Arabidopsis thaliana: one gene and its partner. Each later gene encodes a partner of the first gene's protein in a complex. Each region holds a gene or a part of one and is shown in the gene's direction. Other genes may lie near its edges.

Region 1 (3,578 bases):
ATGAATCTAAATGTAATGTAGGAGGAACAAGAGGAAGACTATGGTGTTGCTCTGAAAGACGATGATGTCGTTGTGTTGCTTAGGGACAACAAGGCCAAATCAAAGAAAAGGGATAAAGAAAAGCCTAGTTCAGGTCGTCCTGGCCAAACTAATAGTGTACCCAACGCGGCAATACAAGTTTATAAGGAGGATTAAGAAGTCAAAAATTGAGTCGAAAAATCCAAGAGGCCAATGAGTCAGTCATTGCTCCTTTTTTTTTTTTACTCAAACTTCTATGAAAAACTCGTACGTAGTTTATTTTGGTTTCCTCATTTTTCAAGACAGCAAAATTGACCAGAATGTATATACTTTTGAATCGGAACTAATTGTTGAAGACGTATTATTCTTGATCAAAGCATGCATATATCTAGTACAAGTTAATCTGACTTGAATACTTGATTTGACAATTTCTACCACACTTTGTTTACCTAGTAATCTAATACCATGTGTATTGATTGATATAGCTTTCAGCTGATTTCAAAATTAATAATTTTTACCAAGAAATTGCTGTGTCGTTTTTTTTTTTAGTTATACGTCTTTAAAATAAGTAAATTATAGTGAAAGGTACGGTTATATTTTAAACGGATAATAATTGAGTTAGTTTAGATCAATCAAACACATAAACTTCTTCGCTGGTCTTCACGAGTAAACGCCTAAAATCTAGTATTAAACAAATTCCTACAACTGACAAGTGGGGACCTTTAAATACACTAGATGAGTATCCACGGTAAGCGTGGGTTTATATTGAAAATTGTTAAAAAATATTTACATTTATAGTTTTTTTGCAAATTTATATTTATTCTTTATTTATTTTTGTATTGTTAATAAAATTATATCAATAATATGTAATTATATTTTATGGTTATATTCATTTGTAACTCGAAATATCAATTTATATATTTCATGTATAAAATTGATTATTTATAAGATTTTAATATTTTCACTTCATGAATACATATAACAACAATATATGATATTCTGAAAAAATTATGAGCAATTATGTTACTTGTGTGATTTAAAATTTGCCTAACTCAATTATAAACCAAATCTTGTTTTATGTACTTCAACAACATTGTGATAGGCTTATGATTAAAATTTGGATTGATATCAACTGAATAAGATTTGAAAAGTATTCGTATGAAAAAATAAAAAGATAACAAAAATTATATGTCATTTAAGTCAATACAAAAATATAGAATGACACATGTCATTTTTTTGTGTGATGATGTGTTATTCATTTGGAGAGAGTTGACCAATTTTCATATATATGATTTGTTTTATAAGGGGAACAAAAAATACAATTGTTTAATTACATTATCGTCGTGGCTTTATAGAACCAATCCAAGACAACAAAACAATTATAAGAAGTAAGAGCATCGTATTTTAGTCAATCATTCATCTTTCTCCTAATTCAATAAACAAACTTTTAACCATTTGATGTATTTTTTAAAAATTAATGTATTTAAAAAATAAAAAAAAAATTTATATTCTGAACATACTAATGACCATAAATATTTAGTTCGATTGTAATTTATTTATTTGATCCAAACTTCCTATAAGAAATTAGGGGAAATATTAAATATTCAATCTATAGTCCAACATTCGTCATCGGACGACGACGAGTGAACTGTTTTCGTTTTTGTTTGTAATGTTTATTCCAGTATATGTAAAATATTAGCTGAGTCATCAACCTACCTAAAGCCAAACGCCACATGCTTATTTTCACTAATAACAACAACAAATCATATATATTTATAATTACGCGTGAATGAATGTCATTCTTGATTATTTTTTGTCAACTAATTAATCAAAGAATCAGAAAATGGACTAGTTATTCTTATTCAAAAGTCACGATTTATGAATTCACCAAAAAATAAAAAAGAGTCAAGATTTATGAAAATGTATTTTATAGTAATAAAGAGTCACACCCAATACCGAGTTAGCCCACTATAAAAGGCAAAGATGTCTCTCTGCGCAATCACTCACATATAAAAAACAGCTTCACTCCTCTCACCAAAACTAATCAGATTAATAAAAGTTTTCCTCTGTCTTATCAGATCTCAATGGAGAAATCAGATAGACGAAGCGAAGAAAGTCACCTATGGATTCCTCTTCAGTGCCTCGACCAAACCCTCAGAGCTATCTTGAAATGCCTTGGTCTTTTTCATCAAGATTCTCCGACAACGTCCTCTCCCGGAACTTCGAAACAGCCGGTAAGCTTTGCAAGAGTATATTTTGGACTAATATGAGATTATTAATTTATGTCTGTTCTGTATACACTATAAAGCGGTTATGCATGGAATTTTTAAAAATGGAAATAATTTAATCTCTTATTTGAACACCAAAAAAAATGAAAAAGATGTTAAAGATTTGGTAGTAACAATTTATAAATGAACGTTTGTATATAAATATATTTTCCAATACTTTTGGAGTTAGCTAGGATATGATCAAAGTATTTAGCTATTTTTACTTTGAGTTAATCCTGTTAAAAATATCAAATTACGTTTAGATGAGAATAAGAATCAGGTAATTATATTTTGGTTTTAAAAGTCATTAGCAATGTTTTAGGAATATTATATAACATGAATCCAACAGATATGTACATGTGTTTATAATTGCAGAAGGAGGAAAAAGAAGACGTTACCATGGAAAAGGAGGAGGTCGTTGTGACGAGTAGAGCCACAAAGGTCAAGGCAAAGCAAAGGGGGAAGGAGAAAGTTAGCTCAGGCCGTCCTGGCCAACATAATTAGGCACTTTAAGTTACATTGTTTAGTCTAATTATTTGCAGTCGAAATGTGTTAATTTAATATCACTGTTTTACTTTTTTATTATATCAACAATCTACAGACAAACAAAATTTCATTAAGTTCTTGTTCACTATACGAGTTTTTTCCTCTTTATTTCATGCATTTTTTTTTTCCCGTATTTGATGTGATATTTGGGTTGAACAAAAGTAAATATGTTCGACCATCATAAGTTCATAACCAGTATCAATATTAATTGAACGCATTTAATATCCATCCATATCGAACGTATCTGTCAAATGTTAAACAACATTAAAGACGAACCTAATTGATATTTTTGGATTTATTTTAACAGTCAACAGCTATTTGGTTCTACCTAGCTAGCTCACATTAATTATAATTTAATGTCTTCACTCATAGAATGGTCATGTAAAATTACTAAAGAATTAAGTTTTGCATTCACCATACTTTTGTTTATAGATCATCATACCAATAATTTATAAAGTTAGATGTTATAAAATAAAATAAACAAAAACCTTAAACGCAGTGATAATCATCCTATCACAATTCACAACGTGCATTATGAATGGTAATATTATATACAAAGTTGACGAGTGCTCTCTATGAGTAACGCATGATCGCTCTATGATTTAATAAAATATACTCCACGAGGAGCAGAAGCAACACCAACTTCGAATATAAAACACATTTAACAATCTTCACTGTGACTTTAGACATCATGATTTTTTTGGTGTTCTTTTTTTAAAAAACTCATAATCTGGTGATAAGTCTCGT
Region 2 (6,523 bases), on another chromosome or scaffold:
TGGTACAATCCCTGAGTCTATTGGAAACTGCAGCAAGCTGGAGATTCTGTATCTGCACAAGAATAAGTTAGTTGGTTCATTGCCTGCAAGTCTCAATCTTTTGGAGAGTCTCACTGATCTGTTTGTTGCAAACAACAGCCTAAGAGGAACAGTTCAGTTTGGCTCAACCAAATGCAGGAATCTGGTGACTTTAGATTTGTCATACAATGAATTCGAAGGTGGTGTCCCTCCTGAACTGGGAAATTGCAGTAGCCTTGACGCTTTAGTCATTGTGAGTGGTAACTTGTCAGGTACAATCCCTTCCTCATTGGGTATGTTGAAGAATCTCACAATTCTTAACCTTTCCGAGAATCGTCTTTCTGGGAGTATCCCCGCGGAGCTCGGGAACTGCAGTAGCTTGAACTTGTTGAAGCTGAACGATAACCAGCTTGTAGGTGGAATACCAAGTGCATTAGGTAAGCTGAGGAAGCTAGAAAGTCTGGAGCTTTTCGAAAACCGGTTTTCGGGCGAGATTCCTATCGAGATATGGAAGATTCAGAGTCTTACGCAGTTGCTAGTTTATCGGAACAATCTCACAGGAAAATTACCAGAGGAAATAACCAAGCTCAAGAATCTCAAGATCGTTACTCTCTTCAACAATAGCTTTTATGGAGTGATACCACCCAATTTAGGTCTGAACAGCAACTTGGAGATTATCGATTTCATTGGTAACAATTTTACAGGTGAGATACCACGAAATCTCTGCCATGGAAAGATGTTGACAGTGTTTAACTTAGGATCTAACCGGCTTCACGGCAAAATACCGGCATCCGTTAGTCAGTGCAAGACTCTAAGCAGATTCATCCTCAGAGAAAACAACCTTTCAGGCTTTCTTCCTAAGTTTTCGAAGAATCAAGATCTTTCGTTTCTCGACCTCAATAGCAACAGCTTCGAAGGACCAATCCCTCGTAGTCTCGGAAGCTGTAGGAATCTCACGACCATCAATCTGTCTCGGAACAAGCTCACGAGGAATATTCCTAGAGAACTTGAGAATCTACAAAACCTTAGTCACCTGAATCTTGGGTCTAACTTATTAAACGGTACGGTTCCTTCAAAGTTTAGTAACTGGAAAGAGTTGACCACTTTGGTTCTCTCCGGAAACCGGTTTTCAGGATTCGTTCCGCCCGATCGCCACTCTTAGAGAGAAGGAAAACAACCATGTATTCCAGTGACATCATATCAAACATTTTTACTATACAACATACTCTCTTTTTTTTCTTTGCTTAAATCGTTGTATACCTTTTCACCATTCTTATTGCCGCTTAGTACATTTTTAATTGATAACACAAAAGTTTCGGTTGATAAGATCCAAATTCATAATATACAAAATTCTTATTTAACATTCAATAAGAAAAAACAAAATTTGCTAATGCTACGATGTTACCCACTCGGAAGCTTACCATAGTCTGTTAGTCATAGTTTGAAAGTCAATTTGGTCAGCTGTAGCTTACGGTTAGGCTGTTCTTATCAAATAACAAAAAGAATGTCAAACACGTATTTTATCGTATTCAATTTAGGGCACGTTGATAACGTTTCCAAAACAATTATTCAATAGTTGGTAATGAAAATTAATGAAAGACCCAAACCTAATGAATGTTAACCACTAATTGACCATTCACCAACCAATTATTTAATGAAATATCTTTGTTAGTTTCGTTATTTAGTATTGTTAACGGTTTCTTACTCTTTTTGACTACATCAGACGGACGTAAAACGACATCGTTGTCGAATATTCAAAAGATTCACAATTTGACAAAGAGAAACAGAGACGACTTGTTTCTAAAAAAACCACGTGTGTCTGAAAACGGAAAAAAAGAAGACTGAATGAGAAACGGCGTGTAAAAAGAAAACGCGTTGAAGGTTAGGCTCTCACAATCGTTGGTATACAGAGAGACCAAACATCTCGTCATAAAAAACGGCAAGAATCATCAGTTACTTTATACCCATCAATCAAGTCTTGTCCTTTTTCTCCTTCTCTCTCTCATACGAGCTTCTTTCCTGCTGATGAGGCTTGAGCTTTAAATTTTCAATCTTGATTGAGATTCTGCATGTTTCTCGATCTTTAAACTCAGATGAAGAATCTTGGGGGGTTGTTCAAAATTCTTCTGCTTTTCTTCTGTCTCTTTCTATCGACCCACATAATTTCCGTTTCTTGTTTAAACTCAGATGGGCTAACTCTACTCTCTCTTCTGAAGCATTTGGATAGAGTACCACCACAAGTTACTTCGACATGGAAAATAAACGCATCTGAAGCAACTCCATGTAACTGGTTCGGTATCACTTGTGACGATTCTAAGAATGTTGCGTCTCTCAACTTCACTCGTTCTAGGGTTTCAGGTCAATTGGGTCCGGAAATTGGGGAGCTCAAAAGCTTGCAGATTTTGGATCTGAGTACTAACAATTTCTCCGGGACTATACCTTCCACTTTAGGAAACTGTACCAAACTCGCTACTCTAGATTTGTCTGAAAATGGATTCTCTGATAAGATCCCAGATACTCTCGATAGCTTGAAGAGGTTGGAGGTGCTTTATCTTTACATAAACTTCCTCACTGGTGAGTTACCTGAATCCTTGTTTCGAATTCCGAAGCTGCAGGTTTTATATCTTGACTATAACAATCTCACCGGTCCGATTCCTCAAAGTATTGGTGATGCTAAGGAGCTTGTGGAGCTGAGTATGTATGCGAATCAGTTCTCTGGTAACATCCCTGAGTCGATTGGGAATAGCAGTAGTCTGCAGATTCTTTATTTGCACAGGAACAAGTTAGTTGGTTCATTACCTGAAAGTCTCAATCTTTTGGGGAATCTCACTACTCTGTTTGTTGGTAACAACAGTCTACAAGGGCCGGTTCGTTTCGGATCACCTAATTGCAAGAATTTGTTGACTTTAGATTTGTCATACAATGAATTCGAAGGCGGTGTTCCACCTGCATTGGGAAATTGCAGTAGCCTTGACGCTTTAGTCATTGTGAGTGGTAACTTGTCAGGTACAATCCCTTCCTCATTGGGTATGTTGAAGAATCTCACAATTCTTAACCTTTCCGAGAATCGTCTCTCTGGGAGTATCCCCGCAGAGCTCGGGAACTGCAGTAGCTTGAACTTGTTGAAGCTGAACGATAACCAGCTTGTAGGCGGAATACCGAGTGCATTAGGTAAGCTGAGGAAGCTAGAAAGTCTGGAGCTTTTCGAAAACCGGTTTTCGGGTGAGATTCCTATTGAGATATGGAAGAGTCAGAGTCTTACGCAGTTGCTAGTTTATCAAAACAATCTCACTGGTGAACTACCTGTGGAAATGACTGAGATGAAGAAGCTAAAGATCGCTACGCTGTTCAACAACAGCTTTTATGGAGCGATACCACCGGGTTTAGGTGTGAACAGCAGCTTAGAAGAGGTTGACTTTATTGGTAACAAACTTACAGGAGAGATACCGCCAAATCTATGCCATGGAAGGAAGTTGAGAATACTCAACTTGGGTTCTAATCTGCTTCATGGTACAATACCAGCTTCTATTGGTCACTGTAAGACCATCAGGAGATTCATCCTTAGAGAAAATAACCTTTCAGGTCTTCTTCCTGAGTTTTCTCAGGATCATAGTCTTTCTTTTCTTGATTTCAATAGCAACAACTTCGAAGGACCAATCCCGGGCAGCCTCGGAAGCTGTAAGAATCTCTCGAGTATTAACCTATCTCGAAACAGATTCACGGGGCAGATACCTCCACAACTTGGGAATCTACAAAACCTTGGTTACATGAATCTTTCTCGTAATCTTCTTGAAGGGTCTCTACCAGCTCAGCTATCTAACTGTGTGAGTTTAGAGCGTTTTGATGTTGGCTTCAACTCATTAAACGGTTCAGTTCCTTCAAACTTTAGTAACTGGAAAGGCTTGACGACTTTAGTTCTCAGCGAGAACCGGTTTTCAGGAGGTATTCCACAGTTCTTGCCTGAGCTTAAGAAGCTGTCAACTCTGCAGATTGCTAGAAATGCTTTTGGTGGTGAGATTCCTTCGTCGATTGGGTTGATAGAGGATCTGATCTATGACTTGGACCTTAGTGGAAACGGATTGACAGGTGAAATTCCAGCCAAGTTGGGAGATCTCATCAAGTTAACAAGACTCAACATATCTAACAACAATTTGACAGGATCTTTATCGGTTCTCAAAGGTCTTACCTCATTGCTACATGTTGATGTCTCCAACAATCAGTTCACAGGTCCAATACCAGATAACTTGGAGGGTCAGTTGTTATCTGAGCCGTCGTCGTTTTCAGGAAATCCAAACCTCTGCATTCCACATTCCTTCTCTGCTAGCAACAATAGCCGCAGCGCGTTAAAGTACTGTAAAGATCAATCTAAAAGCAGGAAGAGTGGCCTTAGCACCTGGCAAATCGTGCTAATAGCGGTCTTATCGTCTTTATTAGTCTTGGTTGTGGTCCTTGCTCTTGTTTTCATTTGCCTACGTCGTCGCAAAGGAAGACCAGAGAAAGATGCTTATGTCTTCACTCAGGAGGAAGGCCCATCTTTGTTGTTGAACAAAGTTCTTGCAGCAACTGACAATCTAAATGAAAAGTACACCATTGGAAGAGGAGCTCATGGAATTGTGTACAGAGCTTCTTTAGGCTCCGGAAAGGTCTACGCTGTGAAGAGACTTGTATTCGCGTCTCACATCCGCGCTAACCAGAGTATGATGAGGGAGATTGATACAATCGGTAAAGTCAGGCACAGGAATCTGATTAAGTTAGAAGGGTTTTGGCTGAGGAAAGACGACGGTTTAATGCTGTATAGATACATGCCAAAAGGAAGTCTTTACGACGTTCTCCACGGTGTTAGCCCGAAAGAAAATGTGCTAGACTGGTCTGCACGGTACAATGTAGCACTTGGTGTCGCTCATGGACTAGCCTATCTACACTATGACTGCCATCCCCCGATTGTTCACCGTGACATCAAACCAGAGAACATACTCATGGACTCAGATTTGGAGCCTCACATTGGGGATTTCGGTTTGGCTCGCCTTCTTGATGACTCAACGGTTTCAACTGCAACTGTTACAGGCACCACCGGCTACATTGCACCAGGTAATGCATCTTCTCATTATACATAGTGGACTTGGTATAATCTGGTTTAGTGTTCAAACCGAGTTAGTTACCGGTTAAAAAAGTCTGTTAGGAAGATACTCTGTTTCTTATTAGCTAATTTCACAATTAAACTGCAGAAAACGCTTTCAAAACCGTGAGGGGAAGAGAATCAGACGTTTACAGTTATGGAGTCGTGTTACTTGAGCTGGTTACGAGGAAGAGAGCGGTGGACAAATCTTTCCCGGAAAGTACAGATATAGTAAGCTGGGTGAGATCTGCCTTGAGCAGCAGCAACAACAATGTGGAGGATATGGTAACAACAATCGTCGATCCGATTCTCGTGGACGAGCTTCTGGATTCGAGTCTTAGGGAGCAGGTGATGCAAGTGACGGAACTGGCACTGAGTTGTACACAGCAAGATCCGGCAATGAGACCAACGATGAGAGATGCGGTGAAACTGTTGGAAGATGTGAAACATCTGGCAAGAAGCTGCTCCTCTGATTCAGTTCGGTAATCTCGTTACTTTGTGCAGAGCAGAAGGAGGAAACTAAAGGACTGTTATCAGTGGTAACGTAACTGGGCTTACCGGTAATGTAACTGGGCCAATAATGTAAAATATGGCTTATTGAAGGCCCAAATATGACGGCCCTTTAATTGTAACCGTGTTTGTTTGTGAAATAAAATCTCGTTTATCAAATTTCTGTTTCCTATTTTATTTTTAAAAAAAGTGTTGGGAAAATTTTCGTTTGGCCGGAGATGAAGATAGGGGCGGTTCAGGAGAGTTGGCTTATACGGACTCCGGTACTTAGGCCGGCGGTTCAAGGCTCAATTCGCCGGAATGGAAAGCCGCAGCTTGAGTTTCCTCTCTCGAACAGTGAGCTTAAGCTCTTCTTTCTTCCATTGAATTTTTTTTTTGGGAACGCATTATCTTGTGCACACTTGTAGTAACTTGGTCTATATCAAATTGAGGTTGAAGATGAAAGTTCAGTTATTTCCTGTGATTTGCAATTTCCTTGTTGATTGTATGTTGTATTTGAGTCTTGTTGGATATGTAAAGAGAACAAAAAGAGAGTGAGAGAGTGAGATTTGTGTGATAAATTTTGGATTTTACAGGGTTGTCTCGTTGTGTGGTTATGGCTGTTCAAGGAGGGAGAGGATATGAATCTCCATGGGATGAAAAACCCTATGAAACTCTTCCTACTGGTAAAAGGGTTTATGTTGATGAATCTGATGTTGTGACGTTTCTTGATCCCCCCAAGGAGTTGATTCCATTGGACCCTGCTTCATATAACCCGGCTGCTTATCTCTGGTTAGTCTGATTTGGTTGATTTAGTTCCAGAATTGATTCATTCTAAGCTAATTGATAGCATATATAACTTAGTCATAACACTAGTGATAGCTATACATCATGGACTAT

The links.
Region 2: the proteins of PROPEP1 (region 1) and PEPR1 are in contact, whole or in part, in a crystal structure (PDB 5GR8), measured with the Arabidopsis thaliana proteins. Residues at the interface, in NP_569001.1 of Arabidopsis thaliana: Lys76 (codon at 2,736), Gln77 (codon at 2,739), Arg78 (codon at 2,742), Lys80 (codon at 2,748), Glu81 (codon at 2,751), Lys82 (codon at 2,754), Val83 (codon at 2,757), Ser84 (codon at 2,760), Ser85 (codon at 2,763), Gly86 (codon at 2,766), Arg87 (codon at 2,769), Pro88 (codon at 2,772), Gly89 (codon at 2,775), Gln90 (codon at 2,778), His91 (codon at 2,781), Asn92 (codon at 2,784); in NP_177451.1 of Arabidopsis thaliana: Asp129 (codon at 2,496), Tyr153 (codon at 2,568), Tyr155 (codon at 2,574), Val175 (codon at 2,634), Tyr177 (codon at 2,640), Asp179 (codon at 2,646), Val198 (codon at 2,703), Glu199 (codon at 2,706), Ser201 (codon at 2,712), Tyr203 (codon at 2,718), Tyr225 (codon at 2,784), His227 (codon at 2,790), Phe249 (codon at 2,856), Thr271 (codon at 2,922), Asp273 (codon at 2,928), Ser275 (codon at 2,934), Tyr276 (codon at 2,937), Ala295 (codon at 2,994), Val297 (codon at 3,000), Val299 (codon at 3,006), Ile319 (codon at 3,066), Asn321 (codon at 3,072), Glu324 (codon at 3,081), Lys345 (codon at 3,144), Asp348 (codon at 3,153), Glu369 (codon at 3,216), Phe371 (codon at 3,222), Leu393 (codon at 3,288), Tyr395 (codon at 3,294), Thr417 (codon at 3,360).

What each region holds. Positions count from the first base shown.
Region 1 is NC_003076.8:25,935,151-25,938,728, forward strand, and holds PROPEP1 (precursor of peptide 1), read left to right. Parts: upstream 1-1,927; 5' UTR 1,928-2,102; coding exon 2,103-2,252; intron 2,253-2,660; coding exon 2,661-2,789; 3' UTR 2,790-3,026; downstream 3,027-3,578. Other genes in the region: PROPEP2 (elicitor peptide 2 precursor), read left to right, coding at 22-195.
Region 2 is NC_003070.9:27,482,402-27,488,924, forward strand, and holds PEPR1 (PEP1 receptor 1), read left to right. Parts: upstream 1-1,838; 5' UTR 1,839-2,111; coding exon 2,112-5,106; intron 5,107-5,243; coding exon 5,244-5,620; 3' UTR 5,621-5,803; downstream 5,804-6,523. Other genes in the region: AT1G73066 (Leucine-rich repeat family protein), read left to right, coding at 1-1,180; AT1G73090 (WD repeat protein), read left to right, coding at 5,863-5,980, 6,220-6,415.